Arabidopsis thaliana: one gene and its partner. The protein of the gene in region 1 interacts with the protein of each later gene in a pairwise test. Each region holds a gene or a part of one and is shown on either strand. Other genes may lie near its edges. The genes, in order: GPX2 and DJ1A.

Region 1 (9,766 bases):
TGAGAAGCCTAATGATGAAACAGCCCTCAATTTGATGAATTCATGTTCAGCTGCGGTTTTGGAAGAGTTTCCTGACATAATCTTTGCTTATGGATACAGTGACGAATACAGGTCCTAAATACACTCCATTGACTTTATTTATTTCACCTCTATGTATCTTGTACAAGATTTATATGTTTACATGTCTTTTGTAGCTTTGTATTCAAGAAAACATCAAGATTCTACCAGAGACGAGCCAGGTATTTTTTCGATTAAAGTTGATTCCATATTTTTAGTGAATTTACTTGAAGAAAACCTTTTCCTCAATGATATGTGGTTTTTTCTTCTCTGATTGACTCATTGTTTTTCACTTTCTTGTTTTTTTTTTTTATATGCAGTAAGATTTTGTCGTTGGTAGCTTCTTTCTTTGCTGCAGTTTATGTAACAAAATGGAAAGAGTTTTTTCCCCAAAGAAAATTATTATATGCTCCGTCCTTCAGTTCAAAAGTTGTAAGTTGTGCATCAGCAGAGGTTCTTCAGGCTTATCTCGCGTGGAGACAACAGGACTGTAAGACATTCTGACAACATAAATATTGTACTTGACACTTATTCTTGATTTCTTGTTTTTCCGGATATTAGTTCTACTTATTGGCGTGAATATCTTCGTGAATTAAGTGAAACCCATTTTTTGGTTGCAGGCCACGCCAACAATCAGTATGACACTTGTTTCTGGATGTTAGTTAAAAGTGGAAAGAGCGTAAGTGAAACCCAAGAGATTCTAAAGGTGTGTTATTCGTGCTTTTCTATGGCAGAGATCAATGTTTTTTTGTCTGCACTACGACTATAATTTTTTTTTTCTAATACAGATGTCAAAATGGCCCTTTACCTTCTTAAGCCAAGTTTCACGCTTAGTAATGATATTACATGGTTTGAACACACGATTTCTATTTCCATTGGATGCCTGCAGGATACACAAAAACAGCAGAAAAATGAGCTTCTCTTTCAGAAATTTGGTATCAATTACAAGACGCTTCCTGAATTGTTTCGCCAAGGATCTTGTCTTTTCAAGAAAAAGGTGATAATTTATATCTTTTGTTAGAAATTATATACAGAGCACTTGCTTTGCTATGTGTTGTGTATGTATTTAGACTTCCAGTTTTAAGTTGAGTCTCTAAGAATGTTAGTAACCTGAGTTTGTTGACAATATTGTTGATGCACATGTACGTTTAGGCTTATGCATTGTAATTTGTAAGTTTGAATTGTCTGAACCCTAGTAAAATCTAGCAATGTGTAGAAGACTATTACTTCAGCTTAGTTGATGTTCAGGTTTAAAACTGATGTATCTAGCTGCTCTTCTTGATGTTCATCATAAATTTGCGTGATGCTATGTAGCTAAGACTTATTGTAAATTTCCAATAACACACTTTCATTTAACTTGATTCAGGTGGAAGAAACTGTAAAGCATGACGAAAATGGCAATCCTGTAAAAAGATTGAGGAGAAAGGCTGTTTTTGTACATTCAGAGAATATTGCAGGAAGAAGCTTTTGGAATGAGCAGCCCTCTCTATATAATGATCTTGGCCACTTCACGAAAGACATTGGAAAAATTGAACCAGATTTTATTAGGTCGTTTCAGTTTGAGAACAAATTGTTACCTTTAACTTGGGTCGTGGTTAGGATTGATGGCTGTCACTTTCACAGGTAATTGTCTATAGCTTACCTTTATTTCGTAAAAGTTTGTCAGTCTTTTTACTGCATTGAAGCCTTAGACTAGTAAAATCCTTGCGCTCCATAGGATTCAGCTAGGCTAGCCTGTTCAGTTTTATTATGTTCTGTTGTGGTTGCATTTGTCTAGGGAATATTCTGATTATTGAATCTGAACTTGCATTTTCAGAAAGAAGTCATTTTGTTAGTGATTACTAGTCTTCTGTGTTGCAAATTACGACTCATGGAGCTTGCTTGGATTTTGATAGATTTTCTGACGTTCATGAATTTGAGAAGCCAAATGATGAGCAAGCTCTGAAACTTATGAATTCATGTGCAGTGGCTGTTCTCGAGGAGTTTGAGGATATTCACTTTGCCTATGGTGTCAGTGATGAGTATAGGTGTCCATCTCGCAACCTGTTTATCTCAGCTTTACATAATTTAGATATTAATTAAGTTCATCATCGATTACAGCTTTGTTTTGAAGAAAGAATCTGAGCTCTACAAAAGACAATCCAGGTTAAACTAAATTTCTCTTTTTCCTTACACTTTTGGCCGTATCTCCCTGATATCCTTAGTCTTAATACTTAGTATTGCATTACAGTAAGATAATATCTGCAGTCGCATCCTTCTTTACATCCACATATGTGTTACAATGGGGAGAATTTTTCCCTCACAAAGAATTGAAGTACCCTCCATCATTCGATGGACGAGCTGTATGCTATCCAACATACAATATTCTCTTGGATTATCTGGCGTGGAGACAAGTTGACTGTTAGTATAATAACACTGTGATAAATTATTTGGAATCGTCTATATCTTTGCAAAATTTTAGATGAGTAGTCTTATGTTTTCTTTGTTTTTCGTTTGGCAGGCCACATCAATAATCAGTACAATACATGTTTCTGGATGCTTGTTAAGTCTGGAAAAAACAAAACTCAATCCCAAGATTACTTAAAGGTACTTTGTTATAATGGATTGAAAAAAATTATTCTCAAGTAGTCAATGCTTAGAATGGTTCTTATCTTACTCTTTGTGAATGACATTCCCAGGGTACACAAACACGAGAGAAAAATGAGCTGCTTAGCCGTCAATTTGGAATTGAGTACAACTCATTACCTGTAATCTTTCGAATGGGTTCTTCGGTTTTCCGTCTAAAGGTTAGTATTGCCTTAACTTTAAATCTATGCATAGAAAGATTATGATACAGTGGACTGGCTGAGAAACTTTATAAGTGCCAAACTGGTTCTGCTCTTATCGTATCGTATGAATCAATTAAGTTACTCAAACCTTTGGCTGTTAACTCGTAAATGGCTAAATCCATATACCAAACCTGAAATGTAACTACCTGCCGAGGTTTCTTACTGTTTCTATCAAACTCATCAAGCAGTCGTGAAGATCTTCTTCCGTTGCAGAACTTGATATTTGTAGAGCTGTCTGAATATTCTTTTTCAGGAAGCTGAGAATGGAGTAGTTTCAGGGAAGAAACTGGAAGGAGAAGTGGTCGTGGATCATTGCAACATCATCGAACGCTGTTTCTGGGAAGAACACCTACACATTCTTAGCTACTCATAAACAGCTGCATTTTAGTATTTTACTTCACTTGTAAGACTAATTTATTGCAAATTCTTAATCTCCAATTAGCACAGCTTTACTTCTTTTCAACATGTGTTATACCTTAGTTTTTCACATGTATGTCAACCATTGTTAAGATTTTAGAAAAGTTATTGGTTTTGTATGTTAAATACATTTGTGGAAGACGAGAGAAGGGAGATAGATAGATATGTAAAACATTAAATTCACACCATACCTGTGCACCGACCAACTGCTAACTTCTCTTGCGTTACGTAAAAGTAACTTTATCCTCTCCATTTATTTTGTTAATGTATAATCACTAGAGACCAGTATTATTAATAATTTTCTATCATGTTGTTGAATAGTACTAGTAATTCAAATGTCTATTAAGTCGGTCCAACTACTTGATAAGACCTATAGACTAAAATTTTCAGGTCCGGTGGTTAGATTCTGAGATATGTTTTTGTTCTCATTCCATTTTAAATTCCGACTTTATGTACTTGTATATATTTGGTGAAAAATTTGTATATAACTTTTAAATTATTCAACCGAGCAAAAGTATACTTTTTTGTTTGTTTGCCACACATTGATTGATTTATTACTTTTAAGTATATCAATTTAACAGGGAAATATAACTGAATCTAGTAAATATAATAACTTTCTTGATTTGGGTCTCAAGTCTGAGAACCAAAAACCCAATGATATTTTGATAAAATACTATTTTTTACGTGACAACTTGCAGTAAATCAGTATCTATAAATTCTAGATGTTTTCCTATAATTTTCTTGCTTTTTGAACAAGCTATAATTAAGAAAAATCAGGTCAAACATTGGAAAGCATAATTGGCAGCGAATCCTATTACAGATTTTTTCCATTAATCATATCGTTAATATCTAAAATGAAAGTCAATTGTAGTGGTCGTTTTGGAAAATATGAAAGGTGGCAATTTGATATGTTTTTTTTTGTAGTGAAATTTATTTCCAATTACGTTAATATTTAAATAAATTCCGTGTAAATATTGATACTCGACACAACACGCAAAAAAAAAAAGAAAAAAAAAAAAAGAGTTATATATTTGAGATTTCTTGATTTTAAATAAGGAATTGAGTTCATGTACCAACTAATCAATGAAAGACAGAAATAAGAAAAATATAAAAATGAGAAGGGTAAGCAATCAATATGAAGTCGTGGATGCTTACCCCACCATTCGTCACAAGAGATTCGTCATTTAAAGCATTCTGATCTTATAACATTTATCAACCATATATATACACACAAAATATTTGTTAACAAAAAGATTTATATTTCTTCTCTTCTTTGTTCATAACTAAGAACTCAGAAAGAGACCAACGACACTGCAAATGGCGGATGAATCTCCAAAGTCTATCTACGACTTCACCGTCAAGGTTTTTCCTCTCAACGTTTTTCTTGCTTTTATTCATAAATTATCAGGGTTTTTTTTTTCATAACTATTATGATTAGTCTTAGATTCTTAATACACATAAACAGAAAGAGATTTTGTTTTGATCCGAAATTACGATACCGGAATTTCTAATGTTCGATCTCAGGCAAAAGAATATAGATGAACAATTTCAAGGTTTGTTATAAAAAGAAAACATATTATGTGTGTTTATATTTTATTCATGAACATGGCAGGATATCGGAGGTAACGATGTGAGTTTGGACCAATACAAAGGCAAAACTCTTTTGGTTGTAAACGTTGCTTCCAAATGGTAAAAATCCCTTTTCACTGTTTTTCATTTTTTTGTTGGTTAGAATTCATTGCCTAATTGTACAAGATAGTATTTGTGATCTAAGAAAGGAAGCAACGTTTGATTTCACTTTTTGGATTATTATGTTCAACTTTAAGTATTGGTTGTATGGCTTGTATGCTCATTGATATCTGTAAAAAAAAGTATTTGTGATCTACCAGATTAAAAAATATAATTGCAAGGATCTTGTGAAATTAGTACTTGTTCAATCCGGTTCAGTTTGGTTTGATTAGTACTTGTCCTTTTTTCTTAACCGCAACATAGGTTTGTTAAAATATAAACAGAGATTTCGAGTAATATTGGTCTTCGTTTGTTCAAATTTAAGATTTTGCTTAAAGTCAATCAAATAGATGAAATCAAAACTAAACTTCCTGATTAACTTGCAGTGGTCTGACGGATGCGAACTACAAGGAACTGAATGTTCTGTACGAGAAATACAAGGAGCAAGGTCTTTGATTTATATACTATAGCTAGCTCCCACAAAACTAAACCTGGTTTTAGTTAGGATTTTAATTCTTGTCACTATAACTAAATAAATGTAAAAAATGAGAATAGGGTTGGAGATATTAGCATTCCCGTGTAATCAGTTCTTAGGACAAGAACCAGGAAACAATGAAGAGATTCAACAAACTGTCTGCACCAGGTTCAAAGCTGAATTCCCCATCTTTGACAAGGTAGTTCATTTTTCTTTTTATTACACTTCTCTCTTTCATTGGTTAAATGTTTTACTAGTGACTGATCTTTACAACATTAAGGATATGTGACTTTCTGTAAGTAACTTAATGAGGAATGATGATTGTCTAATAGGGAAAGAAAAATAGTATATATAAATAGTTGACGGAAATGTTGACGGCAATGTAGGTGGATGTGAACGGTAAGAACACGGCACCATTATACAAGTACTTGAAAGCAGAGAAAGGAGGTTTGCTCATTGATGCTATCAAATGGAACTTCACCAAATTCTTGGTTTCTCCTGATGGCAAGGTCTTACAGAGATATTCTCCCAGAACCTCTCCTCTTCAATTCGAGGTACGTATACCATCCTGGTTTTCACCTAAACCGGAATCCATCCATACACAACCATCTTATTACGGTTTGTTATTCGGTTTATGCAGAAGGACATTCAAACTGCGTTGGGACAGGCCTCTTCTTAATCACCAGAAGAAGAAGTTTCAAGAACTTTCGTTTGGTCCAAATTATGATCTTAGAATCATCAACATTGCAAACTTATTTTCTTTGAATTCTATCATTCTTGTTTTAAATAATTGATGTATTCGATGTCTTTTCATGGGATGATATATCATATATTATCATGTGACTCTCGTTCAAACAAACCTCAAATCATAAAAAGTTGAGTAATAAATTCTATTGGGTCATTATTAGACATTTGTATACGTAAAAAGAACATGTGAAAGGATTTTTGCCCTATCGTACACGACACGTTTAAGTGTGTTCACAACTTATGACCACAAAAAGTTTCTGATTCTTTCCTAGCCACGGGACAAAAAGATAAGAATCACATGTAAAAGAACATAAAAGAAGGGTCATGTGCTTTCTTTGTTGACATCTTGTGATTGAAGCAAAACCTCATCATATAAGCCTAATTACCAATGATACAAAAACAAGATGAAGATCATGAAAGAACAGAAGATATCAAAACATGAACAGTTAGATCAATTACCTCAGCCAAAAACAGAGGTCTTCAAAAAAACAGTTGGAGATTGATTTCTGTGTCTAAATCTCATCACTGCATATGAGAGGACAAGAACCCTAATTCAGATGTCATATGTTAAGCAACCACATTGCACTCAATCACAACAGTCAGGAGAACTGTAGACAAAGAATTTGAAGTTTTTTTATTCACTTGACACAATTAAAATCATAAAGACTTAAGATTACTACAACACATAACATACATAGAATTTTAAAGTAAAAGCCAAACCAGTTTATCCACAGACACATTTGCAGGTCTATTCTCAGCGAACAATGGCAGAGACTTCATTCTTGCAAAGACGGTCTTTCTCTGGTTCAAAGATGAAAATCGATTCTAGTTCAGCTGCACAACCGTACGGTGCAAGCAACAGTTTGTGCCCAATATTTGAGTCTAGCTTTTACATCATCTGGATCATCACCTGAATCAAAAATTGCAACAATCAAACATTCAAGTCAAGAAAATGTTCTTCATAATCACAAGACTCAAATCTATCTCAGATTTAGAGATTTACCAGGGCTAGAGATCTTCCAATTTGCAATTGGAGCGGTCGTGGTCGGTGGTGGCGACGAATCATCTTCCTCCTGGGACTTGTGGTGGTTTTGTTGCTTATCATCTAAGAACTTCTGGCTCATGGAGTAACAAAGCTCTAACGCAGGCAAAGTGTTGCAAAGCTCAGGGATCTCATCGTAACTAAAACCAAACCCTAGATCTAAACAACCTTTAAGCTCCTCAAGATCATCATCCGTCAAACTCTTGGCTCTCGTCAAATCATCTTGATCATCCAACGCGTATCCCTCAAGCAACACTTGGCTCTTCTTCTTCTCCAGCTTCTTCCTACTCTCTCCGGCGAAATAGCCTCCTCCTCTGCCGCCAGAATCTCCAATCGCGGCCCACGTTTCTTGGATTCCCCCGTCGCCACCGTCGTGGTGTTCTGGTAAGGTTGTGTTCGATATATCATCAGCATTTGCTGGTTTGTTCTCTTGGACAGAGTGTGTCTTCCATGCAGGTGGATGTGATGATTCGATGTGAATACAAGCCATTGGTTTTTCTCTCTGTGATTGTTTTTTGTTATCGGATATAACATATTGAGTGGTGAGGAAAGATTATTATATAAAGGAGATGGTTTCTTTCTTAGAAAAGTGGCGACGTAGAAGCATCAATTATTGCATATATGCCATCTTTGTTGTGGGGCCATATGCAAACGAATCAATGATTCCATGAAACGTGTGTTCGAGAAACATTGGGTTTCCATTTTGGGATTCGTCTCGGTTTGTCTTTCAAGTTTCAACTTCTATTTAATTTATGGACATCTATTTTACTAATAATAATGTTGCATAAACATTGAATCACATCGAGAAACATAAAGTATTGTTGTGAAAATTTGTATACTACTTAATTGGAAGGAGAAAACAAAGTGTATTCAAATGAACATGAGAAATTATATTCTGATATTAAAAAGTGTATTGCAGAAGAGATCACTAGTAATCCCATTTATTTACATGATATAAAATTGAATTGCGACCTGAGAAGACATGAAGTTGACATCTTCTTCATAACATTGTTTACAACATCAAGCAATGTTGTCATTGGTCATCAAGAAATGTTAAAATCGTCCCATTAATTTATAAAAACTTAAAAAGTGTAAATTTTCAAATTGTTTTTTTTTCAACTTATCAATATTGGATTTATCTAAAGAAAACTATGCACGGAGTCGCCGCTGGCCACACGAACAGAAGAAGTATGGCCTACTTCAGAGAGTTTGATTTTGGTTTCAGATATTGGTATAAATTATTTTTCTAGACACTTGTTCTAACTGTCTCTAGATTCGTGTTTAGTAAGTTAAGTATCTCATGCTGGAACATGTTATAGTATGTTGTTAAATGTTATCCATATCATATGAAAGAACAGAATTTATTAGTTTTTTTTTGTGGTTCAGGTATTTATAAACATGTTAATCTTTTTTTCTTTTGGGTTAATGTTAAATTTTAATAAATATAGCAATCTTAATATGACTTGTTAGCAAGAAAACGACAAAACACTCTCAGCTTAAGTTTAGGTCATTTTCTTAAACCAGAATTCAGAATTGGAGTTCAGTTGGAATCAAGATATGTTGGTTTAATTTGTTTGTTTCTTTATCGATTTGTTTTTTCACATTATCAATTCTTAAACGCTAAACAAAAACGTTTGCTTTTCTATTTTCCTTTGCTCGACCAACGAAATTTATTTTCTTTTGACCACATTGTTTTTCAGTTTTGTGAAAAGCTCATCAATATCTTAACAAAATCTTTATTTAGACTATAAGGTTCAAAGCTCTTGACTTCATCCATTTGTTACACACTTTAAAAGAAAAACAACCTCACAAAGCCAGCTTGGTAACAAAAAAAAAGTCACCTTATAAATACACCACAAAAACAACACATTTCTTCAAATCTACTAAAAAACAAAAACCAAAACAAAAAATGTCGACTTCTAAAGCCATAACCTTAACTCTCTTCATCACAACAACATTACTAGCGTCCTGCGACGCAGCCGCAAATGCAACAACGAAACCGCTCTTCCCAGCGATTCTAATCTTCGGCGATTCAACCGTCGACACAGGCAACAACAACTACCCTTTACCAACAATCTTCAGAGCTGAACACTTTCCTTACGGCATGGATCTTCCAGACGGAAAAGCTAACGGAAGATTCTCAAACGGAAAACTTATCTCCGACATAATCGCAACCAAACTCAACATCAAAGAGTTTATTCCTCCTTTCTTACAACCAAATCTCTCCGACCAAGACATTCTAACCGGAGTCTGTTTCGCATCAGCTGGTGCGGTTACGACGACCTAACCAGTCTCTCGACACAAGCCATTCGTGTCTCGGAACAACCAAACATGTTCAAGAGTTACATTGCTCGTCTCAAAGGTATCGTGGGAGACAAGAAAGCGATGGAGATCATAAACAATGCTTTCGTGGTTGTGAGTGCAGGGCCTAATGATTTCATTTTGAACTATTACGATATTCCCTCAAGGCGT
Region 2 (10,323 bases), on another chromosome or scaffold:
CAGACCAAGCTTCCAGCTGACATGAAGCGAAAGGCTTTCCTGACCCCATGAAAAGATTCAGACATGGACAGTTCTGGTTAAATCCAGCATGGTTCTTGAATTCAGAAAGTGACACAGTCTTGTTGCAACATGTACAAACCACTCCATCTTTAGTTACCAGGCCTGTTTTTACCACAGTATCATCATCTGGATCTCGTAACTGGATTACTTCGTCTCTAGAAATTACTTTGGTAGCTATCAACCATGATAAGACAGTTCTAGGACCCAAAATAGACCAATTTCCTTGAAAAAAATGATTTTCCACATTGCTTGAGCTTCGGGGAAGCAACCTGCACCCTCCCCTATTGTTTCTTTTCTTTGTTCTAGCCTTTGGCTTCTGTGTTTTCTTTTTCTGGCTTGATCTGCTGAACTTACCTTTGTTTCTGGTTATTGTCGACCCCATAAGGTCATCATCTTGAGTATAGTGCTTCCTAGCTTTCTTTCTTCCTTTCTTTGAATTGCAACATGAATTATTCATCTTCTCATTCCTCAACCTTTCATCCCGACTTCCCTTTGAGACGAGGTGAATGTTGCCCATCTCTTTATCCTGGAATTCAAAGCTATTGAGAGAATTAGAATCTAGTGAATCATGTTGGTCCAAGGAAGCTGGTTTGATATCGGATATTTTCTTTGATCTTCTGTGTAAGTTCTTTCTCATAACACTTTCATGCATGTCTTCTGCTATCAATTTTGAAGCTACAATGCCCTTGCTAGCCTCCTGCTCATGAGTCCCAGAGATTTCCTTACCAATTATGCTCTGCCTCTCTAGTCTTGAAGAAACTTTTTGAGAGGAAATTTTAGTTTGCACCTCAAGATCTGAATGTATCTCTTGGTTAGCATCCACGTCATGAACAAGATGACTGCCTTCAGATACTGTCAGCACACTTTCAGGACAGCCTGAAATCAGGTTCAAACAAATTGTATCTTCTTTCTTCAACTTGTCTGGATTTGAATTCCTTGCAACTTCAACTTTATTTCCTTTTCTTAAAGAACCAACTTGCTTAGAAATGAAGACAACAACCACAAAAGGCTCTAAGGCACTCCACCAAAGTGCCCGTGTGTTAGCAAGATTTAAATTTTTCATGTTCTCCTCGATGTCCAACAGTGTAAGAGAGAGATCGGACCAGAAGTCATTAATACCAGTCCATTTCTTAGTACCAGTATCCATTAACTTACGATCAGCTAATAGGATCCCACCCAATGCTTTCCAAGCTGACCCAAATTCACGAAATTTCCGTCCCTCTGGCGATATGTAAAATGTGTCTACATGTTTCCTACCTGCTGATCTTTCGCGCTTCTCAATTTTCCATCTGGCAGCAGTTAGAACCTTACAGACATACTTGTAGAGAAGAGGACGGGGGTCCTCTTTAGGATCAATCTTTAGGCAGGTTTTAGACATAATTAACTCATTAGGAGATACTTTAGATCCGTTGTTCAACTGTAGCGGGAAGCAAGCCTTCTCACTATGCGGCGTAGAAGCACCTACAGAGATCATTCTGGTTGCGAAGCTCTCCTGAGAAACAGGAGAGGCAATAGCTTTAAATTCCTTTCCATCGCATTTGTCCAAGTTTAGTGACTTACACTTTCCAGACACAATGCCACCCAGATAAACTTCTCTTCCCTTTACTATGCTGTGCTTCAACAAATATGAGCTAGTTGAAACACCCTTGTTAGATGATTCAACTAAATGGAGAGGTATCGTCTCTCTAGCTATGTCCGAAGTTGGAAAACCATGCAAAGCAGATCCCTTTTCGTCCCTTGCATCCAAATGCTTATTACCTGAAAGCTTCACTCTCTTAGCTTTAGTGTTAAAATCTGAACCATCTCTTGAAGCAGATGCCTCAAAACCTTGTGGACATGCATATCCACTAGTTACCACAGAGTTGGAACTCAGAGAGGAATTGACATTCTTACTGGAATCACATTCGAAGTTAATGGCTCCAGTAACGAGACATCTTTTAGTAGTATTTCCAGGATCACTTCCAAAGAAAACTTCTCTGAATATCTGATGATCCTCATATGACCCTTCAAAGCAGTCACCTCCTAACATCTCAATCTCAGCTCCGGGAAGCATCTCCACAAACTAACTGCATATTCCACTTCACCTTAACTTAAAAGGAAGGTTGTAGATAGATACCTGCAATTATATAAAGTAATGAATAAACTCACAGAACCCAAAAGTTTGGAACTCGACATCCTAATCCAAAACACATACCCATAAGCGGAAGCGGATTCAAAACAAGATAAAATCAGAGATCCTTCTAGAAAGGCCAAAACTTTGAAGCCTAGAGCAAAACGATAGACCAGATTTCATGAAATTGAGATGTTATAATGACTAATTACATCCAAAAAGAAAGCTCAAAAATTGGGAAATGCAGGACATTACCAGCATGCAGAATGAAATCAGAGCTGTGAAATCGGAGAAATGGCTTCTTCTCACTGAAATAGACTCATTTCGTCGCCCTTATCCTCTCCAACCGCAAGTGGGAAACGCATTTTCATTCCATTTCACGTTCTCTGCACTCACACACTCTCTCTCCTTGATCTCTATCTCACACACAGAAAGAACAACAATTTGTCTATCTTTTTAGCTTTTTCTATAATTGTGGAAGAAACCCACCTCTGATTCGGTGTTAAATCTCTCAACCAAAATTCATCAGATAGATAAATTCTGACGAACTTTTTTTCACCTCTCTGAATCTGCCTCTATCACTTTGTTGTGCACAGTGTGTGTATACTTATTATTGGCTATTTCTTTCTCTTCTCGTTTTTTTTCTTTTTTTCTTTTCTATAAATTGTGTGCTGTCACCAAAAAGGCATCTTCGTGTTTTTATTTTATTTTTCCTTCGTTATACTGAAAAAGTCATTCTTCATTTTTCACCTTAAGATTCTGTCTCCTCTCTGATAACAACGGACCAGCAGTTATAGTATATGGAGTACTTAAATTCGTTTAATTACACAAATTAAAACCCAAATATTCGTCGTTTTTTTCTTCTGTTATCAAATTCTTAATCCTGTTAATGACGATCGTATCACTATAAGCCAATATTAATGACTATGGTTTTAAGTTCTTGACAAAGTTTTTTTTTACTAAATTCGCCACAGACAAAAACTGTTCTGACAAAAATAACAGACAAACTAAAATGAAAAAAAAGGTTAGCATATTTAATTGCCAGGTTTCTAACTGTTCTTCTGTTGTCGTTTTAAATCATTTCAGCTTATGTTTTTGTCCTTTAAAATTCAGTCATCACCGATTGTAACAGGTTTTGTCTTAATATGTATAATCAATATCTGTTAAGTGGATTGGATGCTTTGTAATTTGCGCGGGGAATCTTTACGTGTCTTAACGATAACAAATACTGTACTATCAAATAGGTGCATGCGATGATGGACATAAGTCGTATTTTAACCTATTTTGTTGTGTGAACAGATTAGTTATTGCATGTTTTGTATTAACTATATATAGGAATACGGCTCTGAATCTTTGTTTCTTCTTATTCGATTTTGATATATGAAAATTCCAAAAAGTACATGTACCAGTACGATGAAAACGACTGTGTTATGTGAAAGTATTTGTTTTTAAAAAAAAAAATATTTAGAGGGGATCAATTCTAGATACTTTTTTCATTTTTAAGGTTTAACTATGGTTAAAAAGAAACGATTCTTTTTTAAAAGGGTAGATGGTAGACCTCATTTGCTAATTTTGATCCACATAAGTCAATAACAAATAATTCGGCTCGCTTGCGAAGCTAATGCATGAGCCACGTGTTTTGCTTTATATTTGGCTTTCTGTATTGAGACATTCTTCTTCATCCTAATTGTGAATGGAATATGTTGGACCCAACGAAGCCATCAAACATGGTTAAAACACACAAACATGTGATTTAATCTAGTTTAATTTCGTCTATTACAATATAAGTGAATTTTGACACACATCCTTGGATTATATCTAAAACGTTAAGTTTGTTAAAAACACTTTGGACCGGATAATGGGTATTGATCATTTATTGTTTGTTGCATGTTGGGTTAGAAATTAGAGATCATAACAAAAATCATGATTTCAGGCTGTCCATTTTGAAAAATGTGTGTGTTTGTGTTAATTTGAATACACCGATTCATCCAAAAACCATCTGAACAGTCTCTTAATTAGTTTACCGTGTATATATATCATATTTATGGGATCATATTTGGTTAAGTTTAACTAGTAGTTTCAAATTTCGCGTTAATAGCTATTTGAAAGGGTAGGAGTACTTTTTCGACCGGTTAACACTCCCATATAAAGCCCATAAATTATTGGAACGCTACAAAATTAACAAAACATCTCTTCAGAAGTTCGTCCGGTTTACTCTACTACAAAGTACATGTATCAAAAACGACAACACGTGCTTCCACAAAATTAAGAACCAGGACGTGATGTCGTTGTTGTAATACTTTTTTCTCGCCAACTTCACGCCGTCTTAGTTTACCGAAACCAAAGTGGCTTTTTCTGATTTTATCCAATACAATGACGTGGAAAGACTCAAAAGAAGCTTTCGCCACGTTCCACCAATGAATGTTCGACACGTATCGTCGAGTTTCTTTTTCTTTATGCTTACGTCATCGCACACGTCTATCTTCTTTTGGTTAAAGTGATAAAAAGGAAAGTCGTAAATGGCTTCGTCACTGAGTCTTTCCTACTATTTTAACCCCATTAGTGACACTCCTTTCTTCTCCACTACACTCCATTTCTCTTTCTTCTTGACTCGACCATCGTTTCTCTAATCTCCGCAACTATGGCTTCATTTACGAAAACGGTGTGTGGGGTTTCACGATCCCGAGATCATACTTTTTTCCCTCCTCGTACGTAACGATTTTTTTTTGTGATTATTAATCCAAGGTTTTTTGGCGTCTCTTTTAGGTTTTGATCCCTATTGCGCACGGTACGGAGCCTCTAGAAGCGGTGGCGATGATTACCGTGTTGCGTCGAGGTGGTGCTGACGTGACGGTGGCGTCTGTTGAGACTCAGGTTGGCGTTGATGCTTGTCATGGCATCAAGATGGTCGCTGATACTCTTCTCTCTGATATTACCGACTCTGTTTTCGACCTTATTGTGCTCCCCGTAAGTCTCTCTGCTGATTTAACATTGTCCATTTGTTTTGTTTCTTTGTGTGTAATCTAAGAACTAAGGACAGCCAATAAGTGGATCGATCAATTATCAATTAGCTCACTTAACTAAAGTTTCGAAAGTGATGTTTATAGTTCCTACTAAGAACGATGGTTTTTAGATGTATCTGTTGCAACTTTTGTTCTCTGAAACAACTTCATAGATTCTTGTTTTCTGAAAGATTTCATAATTGTGTTGCTGATATACTTTTTGATATGATTGGGAAAAGGGAGGGCTTCCCGGTGGCGAGACTCTTAAAAACTGTAAATCTTTAGAGAACATGGTCAAGAAACAAGACTCTGATGGCCGACTTAACGCAGCTATATGTTGTGCTCCTGCCTTGGCTCTTGGTACTTGGGGTCTACTAGAAGGCAAGAAAGTAAGTCAGAAGTGATCAGTATATTTCCAAGGGCGTTTATTTATCTTTTTTTCAGGCCTTGTAATGTCTTGTTATTACATGGGGTTTCTTGCAGGCAACGGGTTACCCTGTTTTTATGGAGAAACTTGCGGCTACTTGTGCAACTGCTGTTGAGTCAAGAGTGCAAATTGATGGAAGAATAGTGACCAGTCGTGGACCAGGAACCACCATTGAATTCTCCATCACGCTTATAGAGCAGTTGTTTGGGAAAGAAAAAGCTGATGAAGTCTCCAGTATCTTGGTATGTTTTGTCTCTGCCTCTTTTATCAACCGCTGTGGTACGTGTTCATGTCACCTCCTCGTAGACTTACTTGTTATCCTTTTGAAATCAGCTGCTTCGTCCTAACCCTGGTGAGGAGTTTACTTTTACTGAGCTTAACCAAACAAACTGGTCATTTGAAGATACACCACAGGTAAATGTTCAGTTGCCTCTCCACTTGGCCCTTTTAACATTTTTCCAAGACAGGCTTTGTTTGATCCGTTATACAGATTCCTAGGAACATGCTGTGTTGTAAAGCTTTTGTCTTTCTTGATCAATAGTCTTTTATGAGTCAGAGAGATAATGTTTTCCCTTTTCAGATTCTCGTACCCATTGCAGAGGAGTCAGAGGAAATTGAAGCTATAGCGCTTGTAGATATCCTGAGGCGGGCAAAAGCAAATGTAGTGATTGCTGCAGTTGGTAACAGTTTGGAAGTTGAAGGATCTCGCAAAGCTAAGCTAGTAGCAGAAGTTCTTCTTGATGAGGTTGCAGAGAAGTCGTTTGATCTGATTGTGTTACCTGTGAGTATTGCTAACTTCCAAAATGTGAATATACTATTTAGTCTTAAATTAAATTTTAATATTCTATGATGACAAATAACCAAAAACATAATCCAACTTCTTTGATGAACTACAGGGCGGTCTTAACGGTGCTCAAAGATTCGCAAGCTGCGAGAAGCTAGTTAATATGTTAAGGAAACAGGCAGAAGCAAACAAACCATATGGAGGAATCTGCGCATCGCCTGCTTACGTCTTCGAGCCTAATGGTTTACTCAAGGTGCATAAATCAAACAGTACTAGAATTGTAGTTTCTTGTTCTATCTTTTAAGTCATTAAACTGAGATATAAGAGACATGTTTTGTATAGGGTAAGAAGGCTACTACTCACCCAGTGGTGAGCGACAAACTTTCGGACAAGAGTCACATTGAGCACAGAGTCGTGGTAGATGGAAATGTCATAACAAGCAGAGCTCCAGGGACTGCAATGGAGTTTTCACTTGCCATTGTCGAAAAGTTTTACGGGCGAGAGAAAGCTCTTCAGCTCGGAAAGGCAACACTTGTGTGATTTCAAACAATGAAAGTATGAGAGTGGCTTGAATAAAAAGAAGGCTTTGCCTTTTAGTTATCTCTCTCCATTAGTAATTACTTACTTTATGATATATGACATATGAGCTTGGCTTAGTGATTGGTGTGTAACTTTATGCCTTTATAAATGAATAAACGAGATTTTTCTATGTATGTTGCCGATATTTTCTTTAAACCTCTGCAAGAGCTAGAGGGTGTGCTGGAGAAAAAAATTATTTTATGGAGAAAGATATTTTAGTCACACATTTTCACCAAATTGACCTTACAATAACTCTAAAATACGAATTTGCCCCTATGTTTAGCTTTGGAATATTTCATATTTGTAAACCATTTAATAATATGATTATTACCAATTTAGTGAAAATAAAATCTTCAGTCTTCTCTTCTTGTATAAAAATAGCTTTTTTATCATTTGAAAACAGAGTAATGTCACTAATTTCTTGGCGAAAATGTGTTTATTTGTAACTTAAGGTAAAATAGGGGCAATTTTGTTGAATCTGATAAGATCAGGGGGTAGTACCGTAGATTTCGCTGTCCAGTTCAGTTATGAAATACCTAAAATGCCCTCGACTCATAATCTACTATTAAACCCTCATAAAACCCTTGATTTCATTTCTAGCTCATCTGTTTTCACACTCTCTCCTAGGGTTTTATCTGCGAAGCCCAATCTAGAGCTTCCATGGCGACGCATACCATTTCTCGATCCATTCTTTGCCGACCGGCGAAATCTCTTTCGTTTCTGTTCACGCGATCCTTTGCTTCATCTGCTCCTCTCGCCAAATCTCCGGCGTCTTCTCTGCTCAGCCGGTCCCGTCCTCTGGTCGCCGCTTTTTCCTCCGTTTTCCGTGGCGGCCTTGTGTCTGTCAAAGGTCTCTCGACGCAGGCTACATCGTCTTCTCTGAACGACCCGAATCCCAACTGGTCGAACAGGCCACCTAAGGAGACGATCCTGCTCGATGGTTGCGATTTCGAGCACTGGCTTGTCGTCGTGGAGCCACCTCAGGGTGAGCCTACTAGAGATGAAATCATTGATAGCTACATCAAAACCCTAGCTCAGATTGTTGGCAGGTAAATCCCCAATTCAAAACTCTCTCTCTCTCTCTCTCTCTCTGTGTATGTTCTTCTAGGGATTTTAGGTTAAATAAGTGAGAAATCCACTACTGTGTATGACGGATCTGTGTGTTTACTTAGATCATTTTTGGAGCTGTAACATGATATATCTCGTTTTGGACATTTCAGTGAAGACGAAGCTAGGATGAAGATCTACTCGGTTTCAACTAGGTGCTACTATGCTTTTGGGGCACTTGTGTCAGAAGATCTTTCTCACAAGTTAAAAGGTTAACTCTTGCCTTTGTTGGGTTTTAGTTTTCCTCATTTCTGTGTTATAATCTGCCTTCTAACTTTCTTCTGTAACTCTCCAGAGTTGTCAAATGTGCGCTGGGTTCTTCCTGACTCTTACCTGGATGTGAGGAACAAAGACTATGGAGGTAGGCTTAAGTGTATTATCTGTATCATAACCTGGGTTTGAAATTGGGGTAGTTGCTTTGCTCGTCCATTATACTTTTGCTGGGTTTGAAATTTTCAAGGGAAACTACCTGTTGCTAGTCTTCGCTCTGTGGACTCGTTACTTGCTCCATGCTTTTGTGTTAGATTGACACATGGGGCGACTTCTATTTATAGTTAATTAACATTGTGGGTGCATCTGTTAGATTTGATTTAGTGATATCTATTGTGAGACTGGTGTTGTAGAAGTCGCAGTGATGTTGCTTTGGTGAGAGTTTAAATCTTTCTGGTGATCCTATTAGAGAGTTAGTTTGATGCGTTTTTGTATATATTGACTTTCAGGGGAACCTTTCATCGATGGGAAGGCTGTTCCTTATGATCCTAAGTACCACGAGGAGTGGATAAGGAACAATGCTAGAGCAAATGAAAGGAACAGACGCAATGACCGTCCTCGCAACAATGATAGAAGCAGAAACTTTGAGAGGAGAAGAGAGAACATGGCAGGAGGCCCTCCTCCTCAACGTCCTCCCATGGGAGGCCCTCCTCCTCCTCCGCACATCGGTGGCTCTGCACCTCCTCCGCCTCATATGGGTGGCTCTGCACCTCCTCCACCTCACATGGGGCAGAACTATGGACCACCACCACCAAACAACATGGGAGGACCAAGGCATCCACCACCTTATGGAGCACCACCGCAAAACAACATGGGAGGACCGAGGCCACCTCAGAACTATGGAGGAACACCACCTCCCAACTATGGAGGAGCACCACCAGCAAACAACATGGGAGGAGCACCACCACCAAACTATGGAGGAGGACCACCACCTCAATATGGAGCAGTACCACCACCTCAATACGGAGGAGCACCCCCACAGAACAACAACTACCAGCAGCAGGGTAGTGGAATGCAGCAGCCACAGTACCAGAACAACTACCCACCTAACCGGGATGGCAGTGGCAACCCCTACCAGGGTTAAAGCAGTTGAAGCAGTCGTGGGTTTCCTTTTTAATCATGCATTCTGGGCTGTGTATAGATAATTTGAGGAAGAGAGAGTGCAGTAGCAAGACTTTAAAACTCCTTTTATCTCGAGTGTTTATCAGTCTGGGATTATGTGAGAGAGAATAGCCTAAGTTACTGTGGCATGGTTAGAACTTTTCACTCTTGCGTTTCTTTTTAGTAGTTTATATCCTAAATCGATCTCAAGTTCTTCCTTGTGATGCTTGCTACTCTTATGTCCACTCCTGGTTCTGCATTAAACGGGATTTAGTAACATGTCTCCCACAGGCTATTGTTTTGTGTCTTTCTTTGGCTTCTTCCTAGTCTTAATTTCTAATTCCCCAATCATGTTTACATGGGAATGGGATACTCATATTATAACAGGAAGAATGACAAATGTCATCAATATCATATTTCTTTCGACAAACTTGACAGAACACACAATTTGATGATGAGAGAGAGAAGCGGGTGTGAAGTAACAAGATGGGCTTTGTGTTCTTTATCCCGGCCCATCATTCTAAATTTCAGCCCAAAATGGAAAATCTCGTAACCGTATAAAGCCCTCGCTTCCCTCATATGTTTTTCCGCCGTCACATATTTTCCCCTCTTTTTTTTCGTGTCAGATTCGCTTTCTCTACGGCTGGACTAGAAGGATTAGGGATTTACCGGTGAAAGAATAACTCCAGAGATAAATCTGTAACCATGGATATGATGAAGAAGCGTAAGCTCGATGAGAACGGTAACGGACTCAATACCAACGGTGGCGGAACCATTGGTCCAACTCGATTGTCGCCGCAAGACGCGAGGAAGATTATCGAGCGATTCACCACTGATCAGCTGCTCGACTTATTGCAAGAGGCTATCGTACGCCATCCCGACG

Evidence for each region.
Region 2: the proteins of GPX2 (region 1) and DJ1A interact in a protein complementation assay, tested with the Arabidopsis thaliana proteins (one study listed by BioGRID).

The regions. Positions count from the first base shown.
Region 1 is NC_003071.7:13,434,629-13,444,394, reverse strand, and holds GPX2 (glutathione peroxidase 2), read left to right. Parts: upstream 1-4,471; 5' UTR 4,472-4,619; coding exon 4,620-4,664; exon of another isoform or gene 4,665-4,914; coding exon 4,915-4,991; intron 4,992-5,416; coding exon 5,417-5,478; intron 5,479-5,585; coding exon 5,586-5,704; intron 5,705-5,891; coding exon 5,892-6,059; intron 6,060-6,145; coding exon 6,146-6,184; 3' UTR 6,185-6,421; downstream 6,422-9,766. Other genes in the region: AT2G31580 (tRNAHis guanylyltransferase), read left to right, coding at 1-111, 195-239, 378-547, 678-763, 947-1,054, 1,424-1,680, 1,953-2,084, 2,158-2,202 and 4 more; AT2G31560 (signal transducer/transcription protein, putative (DUF1685)), read right to left, coding at 7,083-7,162, 7,256-7,784; AT2G31550 (SGNH hydrolase-type esterase superfamily protein), read left to right, coding at 9,626-9,766. UniProt on the Arabidopsis thaliana protein: May constitute a glutathione peroxidase-like protective system against oxidative stresses.
Region 2 is NC_003074.8:5,042,699-5,053,021, forward strand, and holds DJ1A (Class I glutamine amidotransferase-like superfamily protein), read left to right. Parts: upstream 1-4,677; 5' UTR 4,678-4,811; coding exon 4,812-4,832; exon of another isoform or gene 4,833-4,834; intron 4,835-4,890; exon of another isoform or gene 4,891-4,936; coding exon 4,937-5,137; intron 5,138-5,411; coding exon 5,412-5,561; intron 5,562-5,655; coding exon 5,656-5,841; intron 5,842-5,932; coding exon 5,933-6,013; intron 6,014-6,179; coding exon 6,180-6,380; intron 6,381-6,495; coding exon 6,496-6,636; intron 6,637-6,725; coding exon 6,726-6,923; 3' UTR 6,924-7,273; downstream 7,274-10,323. Other genes in the region: ROS4 (Acyl-CoA N-acyltransferase with RING/FYVE/PHD-type zinc finger protein), read right to left, coding at 1-2,113; AT3G14981 (uncharacterized protein), read left to right, coding at 2,412-2,630; RIP1 (cobalt ion binding protein), read left to right, coding at 7,623-8,011, 8,183-8,280, 8,365-8,430, 8,789-9,423; AT3G15010 (RNA-binding (RRM/RBD/RNP motifs) family protein), read left to right, coding at 10,146-10,323. UniProt on the Arabidopsis thaliana protein: Involved in oxidative stress response. Confers protection against diverse stresses by binding both CSD1 and GPX2 and mediating the cytosolic activation of the Cu-Zn-dependent superoxide dismutase activity of CSD1.